Schizosaccharomyces pombe: one gene and its partner. The protein of the gene in region 1 purifies or fractionates together with the protein of each later gene. This does not show direct contact. Each region holds a gene or a part of one and is shown on either strand. Other genes may lie near its edges. The genes, in order: ssp2 and ade4.

Region 1 (5,477 bases):
GAATTTCCTCGATTTTTAATATTTTTCTCTTTGAACAAGCAACATGAAAGAGTATCTCCCTAATCCATACCTCAAACTTGGCATTTTGAAATGAACAAAGGATTAGATAGAGTTATACTATACTGAAATAGAGGACGTTTGCAATGTAGAGATCTGCGATGTTTACACGAGGATAGTTATACAATGACTGTGAATGTGTGCGACAAGCAAATCATTGTACTGCAGAAACAAGAATTTGTGTCAAAATTTTTAACTCGTTCATGAATTAAATTCAAAAAGAAAGTAGACTTACTGTTTGCCAAGCAATATGAGGCAAAACTCTTATCCCGTTTGCTGACAACAATACGATAAACATGTTAATTCGCGAGTTGGCAAGGCATTGATATGTCTACATCATTAATGATTTTAGGAAAACATATAATGTCTTTTTGCTTTAATTTCAAATTAAACGAAATTAATGTTTTTATTTACTAAAACGCGAGTTAACAAGAAAGTCATTGCAAATTAGTGTCAGCAATACTACCCTGCGTTAAAATACATTACGTTGTGTATCAGCATGTTTCCTTATGTTAATATAGTTTTAAGACCCGTTTAAATACTGATAATCGCGGATAACTGTTCATCTAGAATGTTTGTGGTTTAATAAATTAGGATGAAATATAAATAGAGCCAAATTGAACTCAGGAACGACATTCACTTATAAGCTAGTTTAGTGATGGGTAACGATTTAACCCATATATCAATACATAAAATTAATTGCTACTCATGATATCTGTATACTATAATTAATAAACCACAACGAAATTTACCGTACTACTACACGTAGCGCAAAGTTTTAATTGCGTAGTTTGACCTAAAGCTAAAAATTTGCGAACTAACTTATGGTGGCATATTCTATTATATAAAAAAGTATCACTTTAAATGTGTTTGCTTAACACCTATAGATCGTGATGCCAGACAGCATGTGAATGAAGAAACCTCTATTCATCGTGTGAAATGAATTTTGTAAATAAAGTCCAATCACATGCTAACTTTACTATTTGAATTACAAAGATGCTTTTTACACGAAACTTGTTTACGAGGATGTCCAAATAAAAAAGCATTCCTGTGATTGTGATTTACCCCAAACAAGCTATAAAATTCGTTCAGGGTAAATTGCGCTGTATTTTTATTGCATTCTTATATTATCATACAAGTTGTTGACTTCGAAAACACTTCCCTGCTTTCTAAAAAAATTTTTATTTGGATTTTGATTGATAGCTTTTCTTAGAATATTAAATTTTTTCGTCAAAGCAAAGACTTTCATGCAAGAAACAGTGATAATTAGTCTGTGTGCCTTGTAAACAAATGAAATCAGTTCAGGCTCGTTATATTCATGATCACTGTTTAAATGTTGCTGAGAAATCACATCCAATATGAAGACTCTTTTCTAATAAAAAGCTTGTTCATTTCCTTTTTTTTGTATTAACTCAACCAGTACTTAATTGTTTACAAACTCAACGAAGATTTGACAAGAGCGTTATAATGCGATACACAACGCTGCACTTAACAACCATCTTATGAAGACTGTGGGGTACGCCGTGTGTTCCATTATATCTGGGATGGGTTCTTTACAAACATAATAAACTGCTTAATCATACTTGGATCATGTTATTACTTATACAGCCAAGATTGAAATGCGAACACTGTAACATGTATAAGTATTTTATTGGAACAGTTAACTGGGTTAGTTAAATAAGAGTTTGCAGTTTGCATTAAAATGAATAGTGTAGTAGAATTTTAATTCATTGAGTAAAATTCCGCATTGTGACGCAACTTCGTTAACTAGTAAAACGGTGGCTTAAAAAACTGTATAGTGTTATTTTAAACGAATTAACGAGTCCAATTCATATCATCTCATGTGACACAACTAAGGATGTATACTATGGCTTTGCCTTCTACCAAATTATATATTTATCTCACACTCTGAAATTTAAGCCTTGCTATTAAGGAAAAAAAGATTTTATCAATAAACTTTCAATATTGGATTTGCCAAGCGAATAGCTGATAATGCAACCGCAGGAGGTTGATTTAATGGAGAACTCAACCATGCGAAATGGAGCAAGAGTTTTACCACCAGAAGCCATATCCAAGCGCCATATCGGCCCTTATATTATAAGGGAAACCCTTGGTGAAGGTTCTTTTGGCAAAGTCAAGCGTAAGATTGCTAATATTTAATATCATGAGAATAGAGACTAACGTACTTGTAGTCGCTACTCATTACAAAACGCAACAGAAAGTTGCTCTCAAGTTTATCTCCCGTCAATTGCTAAAGAAAAGCGATATGCATATGCGTGTGGAGCGTGAAATTTCATACTTGAAGCTTTTGCGACATCCTCATATTATTAAATTGTATGATGTGATAACCACGCCCACAGATATCGTTATGGTAATTGAATATGCAGGTGGTGAATTGTTTGATTATATTGTAGAAAAGAAAAGGGTAAGTGGTGCGGTTTGCGAGTTTTTGTTACAGTAAATTTCAGAAGTGATGTTGGATTGGTTTGATTTGTCAAAATGTACAAGTTATCCGATTGTCTTTTTTAAAAATAGAAAAAGATAAATTGTTTTTGCATCTGAAATGTTGCTGATGAAGGCTTGTTTACAAATTTGAATGCACGAATTTATGTATTTGCTGACTGTTTTTAAAGATGACTGAAGATGAGGGTCGTCGTTTTTTTCAACAAATTATATGTGCAATTGAGTACTGTCACCGTCACAAAATTGTACATCGCGATCTTAAACCCGAAAATTTGTTGTTGGATGACAATCTCAACGTAAAGATTGCTGATTTCGGTTTATCAAATATTATGACAGACGGTAATTTCCTAAAAACGTCCTGTGGCAGTCCAAATTATGCAGCCCCGGAAGTTATCAACGGGAAATTGTATGCTGGTCCAGAAGTCGATGTTTGGAGTTGCGGCATTGTTCTCTATGTGATGTTGGTGGGTCGTCTTCCTTTCGACGATGAATTTATCCCCAATTTGTTTAAAAAAGTTAACAGTATGTTTGGCCACTTTTTTTTCTACTTATCTCTTGCTAAACGTATTTAGGTTGTGTTTATGTTATGCCTGATTTTCTTTCTCCCGGAGCACAATCTTTAATTCGCCGAATGATTGTTGCAGATCCAATGCAGAGGATAACAATTCAGGAAATACGTCGGGACCCTTGGTTCAACGTTAATTTACCCGATTATTTACGTCCTATGGAGGAGGTCCAAGGCTCTTATGCTGATTCACGAATTGTCAGCAAGCTTGGTGAGGCAATGGGGTTCTCGGAGGATTACATTGTCGAAGCTTTACGTTCAGATGAAAATAATGAAGTAAAAGAGGCTTATAACTTGCTACATGAAAATCAAGTAATCCAAGAAAAGAGTCATCTCTCCAAATCAAAACGAGTCGATTCTTTTCTATCTGTATCTCCACCCGCATTTTCAGAATATACTTCTGAATTGCAAAAGAAGTCAAAACAGGAGCTTATCGATCCTACTTTAGAAGGACCGCGTTGGACAGTCTCCGACCCTCCAACATATGCTAAACAAACAATTGACAGTAACATATGTGTCCTTGTGCCTACGGCAGAAAAAAATAAACTTGAAATGAGGACTCTTGCCGATGCTGCTAGTGCTGTGGATACGAGCCAATCCACTCGCAAAAAGAGTCGCCGTAACAAATGGCATTTTGGTGTTCGCTGCCGGGGCGATGCACCTGAAATTTTGTTGGCTGTGTATCGAGCTTTACAACGTGCAGGAGCTCAGTTTACCGTTCCAAAACCAGTAAATGGAAAATATCGATCAGACATGTATACCATTAAAAGTCGTTGGGAAATTCCTCATTGTAAAAGGGAAGGAAAAAATACTTATGCTTATATTGAGTTACAACTTTATGAAGTTATGCCCGGGTGTTTTATGCTAGATGTGAAATCTAATGGTTACAAAGATATTTATTCTCATCCTGAACGAACAGCTGATCATGGCATGGATGATCTTAAGTCATCTTTCCCATTTTTAGATTTGTGTGCTATGCTGGTGTGCAAGTTATTTTCTGCATGATTTATTGTAACTCCCCATTTAACACGCTGTTTTCAAGCATCCCTTAATTACCCATTGTTGAACAAATCTACTCAATAGCAAAGACACATTTTATTTTTTTTACCTTTTCTTTTAGCGAATAAGGTTGCATGAAGATACTAGTGTCCGGATTAATTACCGCCATTTTCTGTTGAAACATTTATGAATTGATGAATTTAGTGCCATTGTATTATCAACGGTTTACAGAAGATTTTGGTTTCACTCGTTAAGTATTTATCTTGTTATAACCATAATACATTTGTTGATATGAAATAATCGAATGACTGAATGTTAGGAGTTTATTGAGTCCTTTTACTTTTCATGCGGGTTTTCTCTGATAACTGAAATTTCCCATTTATCTATATGCATGACGATGTTGATTATATATGCTCACCTTTCTTTTAATAATAAAGAAAACCGTTAAGAAAAAAAAAATTTATACGTTTATGTTAATGTAAACGAGAATCAAATCAAAGACTAGTTAATATGCAATTTTTTTTTGCAATTTAAGAACGACTTGCAGCTGCGACATCGAGGAACTAGTCCATAAAGAGTATTATTTTCCTTTATCTTTACTTTAATTCAAATACAAACCAATTCTATTTAAAATACTATGCTAGCTTGTTTGTAATTAGTTGAACTTTATGAAGAAAGCAATTCCCCCCCCCCCCTTTTTTTTTTAAAAAAAAAATTGTTAAAACATCTGTACATCAAATTTTGCAAATTTCTTTTCATAAAGAATGTCAATAGAAATGTCAACTTTAGTGTGATAAAGAAAAAAGCTAATAAAGAAAGTTATAGACACAAAATGTGAATTATGAAACGAGAACAAATGATTGGTATTCTTAATTTTTGTATGTCTCAATATTTAAATTATTTGAAAATCCTACTATATATTCCTCAAAATTTGTAGAAGGTATTTTCATTCATTTTGTCTAAAGGATTCATACATTCCACAGTTAGTATATAGATTAATTTGTTCCATTCTGCAAAAAATAAATAAAAATACTCCGTTCATAGAACTGGTGCACAGCTTACTCTCAAAAAAAAAAAACAATGTATAAATTATGTTTACTATCTAATAACAGACGTTAATATGAAGACCGGTTAATGTATGAGGAAAAAGAGATGGGTTCAAAATCACAAGAGAATGAAGAAAAAAATAAGAGTATAATATCCTTTTATTCTTAATTTTTTCTAACGGAATTCGTGAAAAGATTGATCCGATCTAAAAACGGTGAATCATTTTGTTTACAGCTGGAAAGCCATTTGGCATACCAAGTCCCACACGCCAAAAATGCTTCTTAAGTCTTCTATTATTGTCAATATAATTAAAAAATTAAAAATCTACTAAAATTATATTTTTTTA
Region 2 (5,002 bases), on another chromosome or scaffold:
TAATTAAATTGCAGAATGAGAGAGAAAAGATCAAAAAGTCTAAGAACACATGCATATCTACTTATACATAAAAATAAATCATACCTTTATAAGATGGGATACAGCACGAAGAGCATCGGCAGAGCTTTTAGAATCATCTAAAATAGTCGGTGCTTCCACGTGAATACGCATATGTCCCTCGTAGCCAGATCGTAACCAAGCATTGATATGGGCTTCCGCTTCTTCCATGCAAATAAGAATAGCAGAAGTAAATCCAGCAGCTTCAAGCCAATATAATGGGTAGTGAAGCATCGGTTTATTGCCGATAGGTAATAAAGCCTTGGGAAGTGCATCGCTTCCAGTCAAAGGATATAAACTAAAACATGGTTAGTATTTTCTTATTGTTATTTTATCTTTTTTAAGTGTTGATGAAGATAATATGTGCGAAGTCATCATTATCCAAATCGTTAAGTAGTCAGTACTACACTTGTTTGTTTTACCTATTGCCAAATCCTGCAAAAACAACAGCTTGAAATTCAATCGGAATAGACTGTAATTGAATATTCCCCCGATTTCGTCCACCAGAAATAGGTCCAAGGATTGAAGGGCTACTGGCTAAAGGAAGTGCAGCATGCTCATACAACGACATTGTGAGATGTTGTTCTTCAAGGCGTTGGATGCTTTTACAAAAGGTTTTTACCTAAAAGGATGCTTTGAAGCCAAAATCTTTTATAACCTGATAGAAGACGAATTATTGGGTTTTTTTGCAGTACGCCAATATTTGATGAAGATGGAAAACCTTACTTTCCTAGATCCCTACTAACGAGCCAAAAGTTTACACGTTACACATCACTATCTGAAATAAAAATGTGCTGAATTTATATTTGTGTTTAGAAAAATGTATTCATGAAATATGAACTATTGATGATTTTTTTTTAAAATGATTTACCAACTCAAAATGTGGAGCTGCTTGAAAACTAATTATTGCTTTGCACTTGTAATTTTGTTTAATGTGCAATATTAAAAAAGATGTTTTAATAATCAACGATTTATAAATCGGTACGTTTTCGCGATCCTGGTTTATAATCAATCCGATAGTAAAAAATATCAATCAAGCGCTCAGAAAATGATCCTCTGTACACCAATTAAGGAACAAATATTTGAAGCCGGTTAGTAAACTATTATTTTGAGGAATCAGAAGATTAGAGATACAGTACATTGTGTATTGTTTTCATTAGTTTTTTAAGTTTAAAAACCATTGGACTACTGCAATCGTAACAAGTTGAACTAAAAGTTTTGGATTAGATTACCCATAGCTCTCATCTCGGTGATTAATGTATTGTTGTTAACTACCGAGTAAAGAAGGAAGAAAAACCAGAACATTGAAAGATTTTATAACAAATAAATAGTAATGGGATACCTCCGGTAAAGCTCAATAATAAGTTGATGTGTATGCGGCATTACTGTAACACTGCACCACTCTTAACTTCATCGAATTTTTTTTGATATAAGAAGGTTTTATTTAAAGATATATTTTTAAGCTTAAAAAATTTTTTTTGGCAACAAAAATAGCAAACAATTTAATATCATCTACCCTGTCAGCTAAGTAGCAAGCTATACCTGTTACCTATATTAACGTGCGCATATCCCACCTCTCTTTAAGCTTCTATTTAGCGAATCGTTCATCACAATCTTGAGCAGTCATAGTTTCGACTCATACTTCACTATCATTTAAGGCGGACAATAAATTAATTTATACGGCAGCAAAATTTTGCCTTAACAATATACCCAACTACGGTGTTTGTTCAGCGCGTACCTGAAAATCTTTTTTTTTTTGTTTCGTACGCGTTTTAAAAAGTAAGTTAATATAGATATTGATTTTCCAACGCCGCAGTACTTGCCTATGATGATTACCGTTTATTTAGATGCTAGACTTCTGAATTTCATCTTATGTAGCTACAAGGTTTTCTGAGGTCTGCTTAATTGATTAAAATTTTTTATTTTCTGTGATGGTAACATACAACTCATTTTACGGTCGGTACAAAAAAATTGAAATTATATTCCAAGTATTCTCAAACTTTGATTGCTGTCCGAATAGAACAGTCCGACTCATATTATTTTAATCAAGTTATAGCAATTTGACTGGGTGCTGTTTTTTCTTTTGTACATTTAAACCTATCATTTTATTATCTTTTGTATTCAATTCACAACCGAAGCTCTAACAAGTTTTAGAAAATGTGCGGAATTTTGGCGTTAATGCTTGCTGACCCTCATCAACAGGCATGTCCTGAAATTTATGAGGGTCTTTACAGTTTGCAGCATCGGGGTCAAGATGCCGCCGGTATTGTAACCGCTGGAAACAAAGGTCGTCTTTACCAATGCAAGGGATCCGGCATGGTTGCCGATGTTTTTAGTCAGCATCAACTTCGCCAACTCGTAGGTAGTATGGGTATTGGTCATTTGCGCTATCCTACTGCTGGAAGTTGTGCTCACTCTGAAGCACAACCCTTTTATGTTAACTCTCCTTATGGTCTTGTGTTGGGCCATAATGGTAATTTAATTAATGGACCCGAATTACGACGCTTTTTGGACACTGAGGCCCATCGTCATGTAAACACTGGATCTGATTCTGAGCTTTTGCTTAACATCTTTGCTTACGAGCTTCAACGGTTGGATAAATTTCGTATAAACGAAAATGATATTTTCGAAGCTTTGCGTAATGTATACGATCGCGTTAATGGTGGTTATGCATGTGTTGCTATGATCGCAGGCTTGGGTGTTTTGGGATTCCGTGATCCCAATGGCATTCGTCCTTTAGTGATCGGTGAACGTGATACCCCCGAAGGAAAGGATTACATGCTTGCTAGTGAGAGTGTTGTATTGACTCAATTTGGATACCGTACATTCAGAGATATTCGCCCCGGTGAGTGTGTCTTTATTCGTCGTTCCAATAGGGAAGATATACTTGCAGGGTTTAGAGGCCCTCGCTTGTTTTCTCGTCAAATCCTTCCCTGCCTAAGATTTACTCCCGATATATTTGAGTATGTCTATTTCGCTCGTCCCGACTCTGTTATTGACGGATTGTCCGTATACCAATCCCGTTTAAATATGGGTGAAAAGTTAGCGCATACTATAATGAAACGGTTTGGTCCCGATTACATGGAAAAAATTGATGCTGTCATTCCTGTTCCAGATTCTGCTCGAACCAGTGCCCTTGCACTTGCACAGACAGCTCAACTGCCATACGTCGAAGCTTTTATTAAAAACCGATATATTGGTCGTACCTTCATTATGCCAGGTCAACAGATTCGTCGTAAATCGGTTCGTCGTAAATTAAATGTTCAACCTCAAGAGTTTTTTGATAAGAATGTTTTAATTGTGGATGACAGTATTGTTCGTGGTACCACCTCTCGTGAGATCGTTCAAATGGCTAGGGAGTCGGGTGCAAAGAATGTCTATTTGGCTAGTTGCGCTCCTATGATCACTCATCCTCATGTCTACGGTATTGATCTCGCTGATTGTAAGGATCTCATTGCTTATGGAAAAACTGAGGATGAGGTTGCTGAAGCAATTAGTGCCGATGGTGTCATTTATCAAACATTAGAAGATTTATTAGATTCTTGTCGTACGGCTGAGCTGACCGAATTTGAAGTTGGTCTCTTTACTGGCGAATACACTACTGGCGCTAGTAAAGAATATTTAGTCCATCTTGAGCAAATGCGTATTGCTAACAATCGTGCTCGTAAGCATAGCTTTGCAGAAGATGAGGAACGTGAAGCTCCCGAAGACATTTCTCTCCATAACACACATTCAGATGTTACTTTTGATTTTGTTTAATTCCCCAATTTATTCAATGCTTAGTGCTTTATTATAATAACCAATCCTCCATTTACTTTGTCTAGATTGATGCTCTAATCCATTGTTGAATACTAATAGAATGTACAATCGCCCCATCAATGGTTTTTTGGTTGATTTTAATTTCTGAATTTTTGTCCTCTTGAAACTTTTCTTGAAATTAAAGATAATTTCATCAGCTCCTTGTTGTTAATTTTACTTTTTGTTACCAATTAATATATATTGTTTCAATATATAAGTTTACCCATACTCTTTAAGACTATTAGATTATAAGTAGTGTCTGAAAAAAATTTTCTACACACTTTTATAAACATGCAATAATATACAATATTGGTTTTTTTTTTTTGGTCTCTTAACCTTTTCATAAAATGAAACATAATTCAAAGTCTGTTTGTACTATTTGCATAATTATGTTACAAACTCTTTCGACGTTTTTACTTGTATAGTCCACCAACTTCTTCATTTCTTTATATAAATGCGTATAACGGTAAAAGCATTCTTTCGTTTAATCAATAACTAAAAACCTATTAATTTAAGTCTATGTTTCAATACAACTCACTGTTTTGGCGAAACTCGTGTTGAATGATTCCGAAGAGAGGGGATTTCGATATCATCAGTGCCTTTTGTGATGATGTCTAGAAAGCGACAGGCATCCTCTAATGATTTTTTTGACATGGAACAGCTTTTGATAGCGAATGATGCATTAGTGCATCAGAATCACTCTACTCCCAATCATGCAAGCGACGAATTGTCTGTGAACGACCCTTCGCCTTTGAGCCGTGGCCTGCAGTCAGATGTCAACTCAAACATATCTAGAAATATCTCTAACACATTCTTTAAAAAGTCGATCTTTTTCTTCGTTTACTATTGTAAGCAAGCTTTAGAATTTATCAGCACTGTATTTTCCATCATAAAGTTTCTTTTGAACCGTCGAAAAGTTAGCTTTTTACTCTCATTTCTTTTGCTTTTCTCGTTGTTTTTACTAATACCTAATGATGGACGAGTAAATATTAAGTTTTTTTATAAGGATTTCGTAGACAGAATTCCTTTTCGGTTCATTCCTTCAAATTTTAATATAAGTTTTGGCAAACACTTGGAACAAGCGAAATCTCTGTTTAAATCCAAATTTGGTAATTCCTCTTCAACATATAATGAACGTGATTCTATA

Evidence for each region.
Region 2: the proteins of ssp2 (region 1) and ade4 purify together in Schizosaccharomyces pombe (affinity purification with mass spectrometry, with the first as the bait; one study listed by BioGRID). This does not show direct contact.

What each region holds. Positions count from the first base shown.
Region 1 is NC_003421.2:1,928,430-1,933,906, reverse strand, and holds ssp2 (serine/threonine protein kinase AMPK catalytic (alpha) subunit Ssp2), read left to right. Parts: upstream 1-1,932; 5' UTR 1,933-2,049; coding exon 2,050-2,197; intron 2,198-2,249; coding exon 2,250-2,482; intron 2,483-2,690; coding exon 2,691-3,042; intron 3,043-3,092; coding exon 3,093-4,090; 3' UTR 4,091-4,717; downstream 4,718-5,477. UniProt on the Schizosaccharomyces pombe protein: Serine/threonine protein kinase essential for release from glucose repression via the phosphorylation of scr1 upon glucose deprivation.
Region 2 is NC_003424.3:5,363,174-5,368,175, reverse strand, and holds ade4 (amidophosphoribosyltransferase Ade4), read left to right. Parts: upstream 1-1,757; 5' UTR 1,758-1,836; intron 1,837-1,878; exon of another isoform or gene 1,879-1,953; intron 1,954-2,053; exon of another isoform or gene 2,054-2,211; 5' UTR 2,212-2,214; coding exon 2,215-3,816; 3' UTR 3,817-4,188; downstream 4,189-5,002. Other genes in the region: translation initiation factor eIF2B gamma subunit tif223, read right to left, coding at 85-355, 480-628; protein Csi2, read left to right, coding at 4,463-5,002.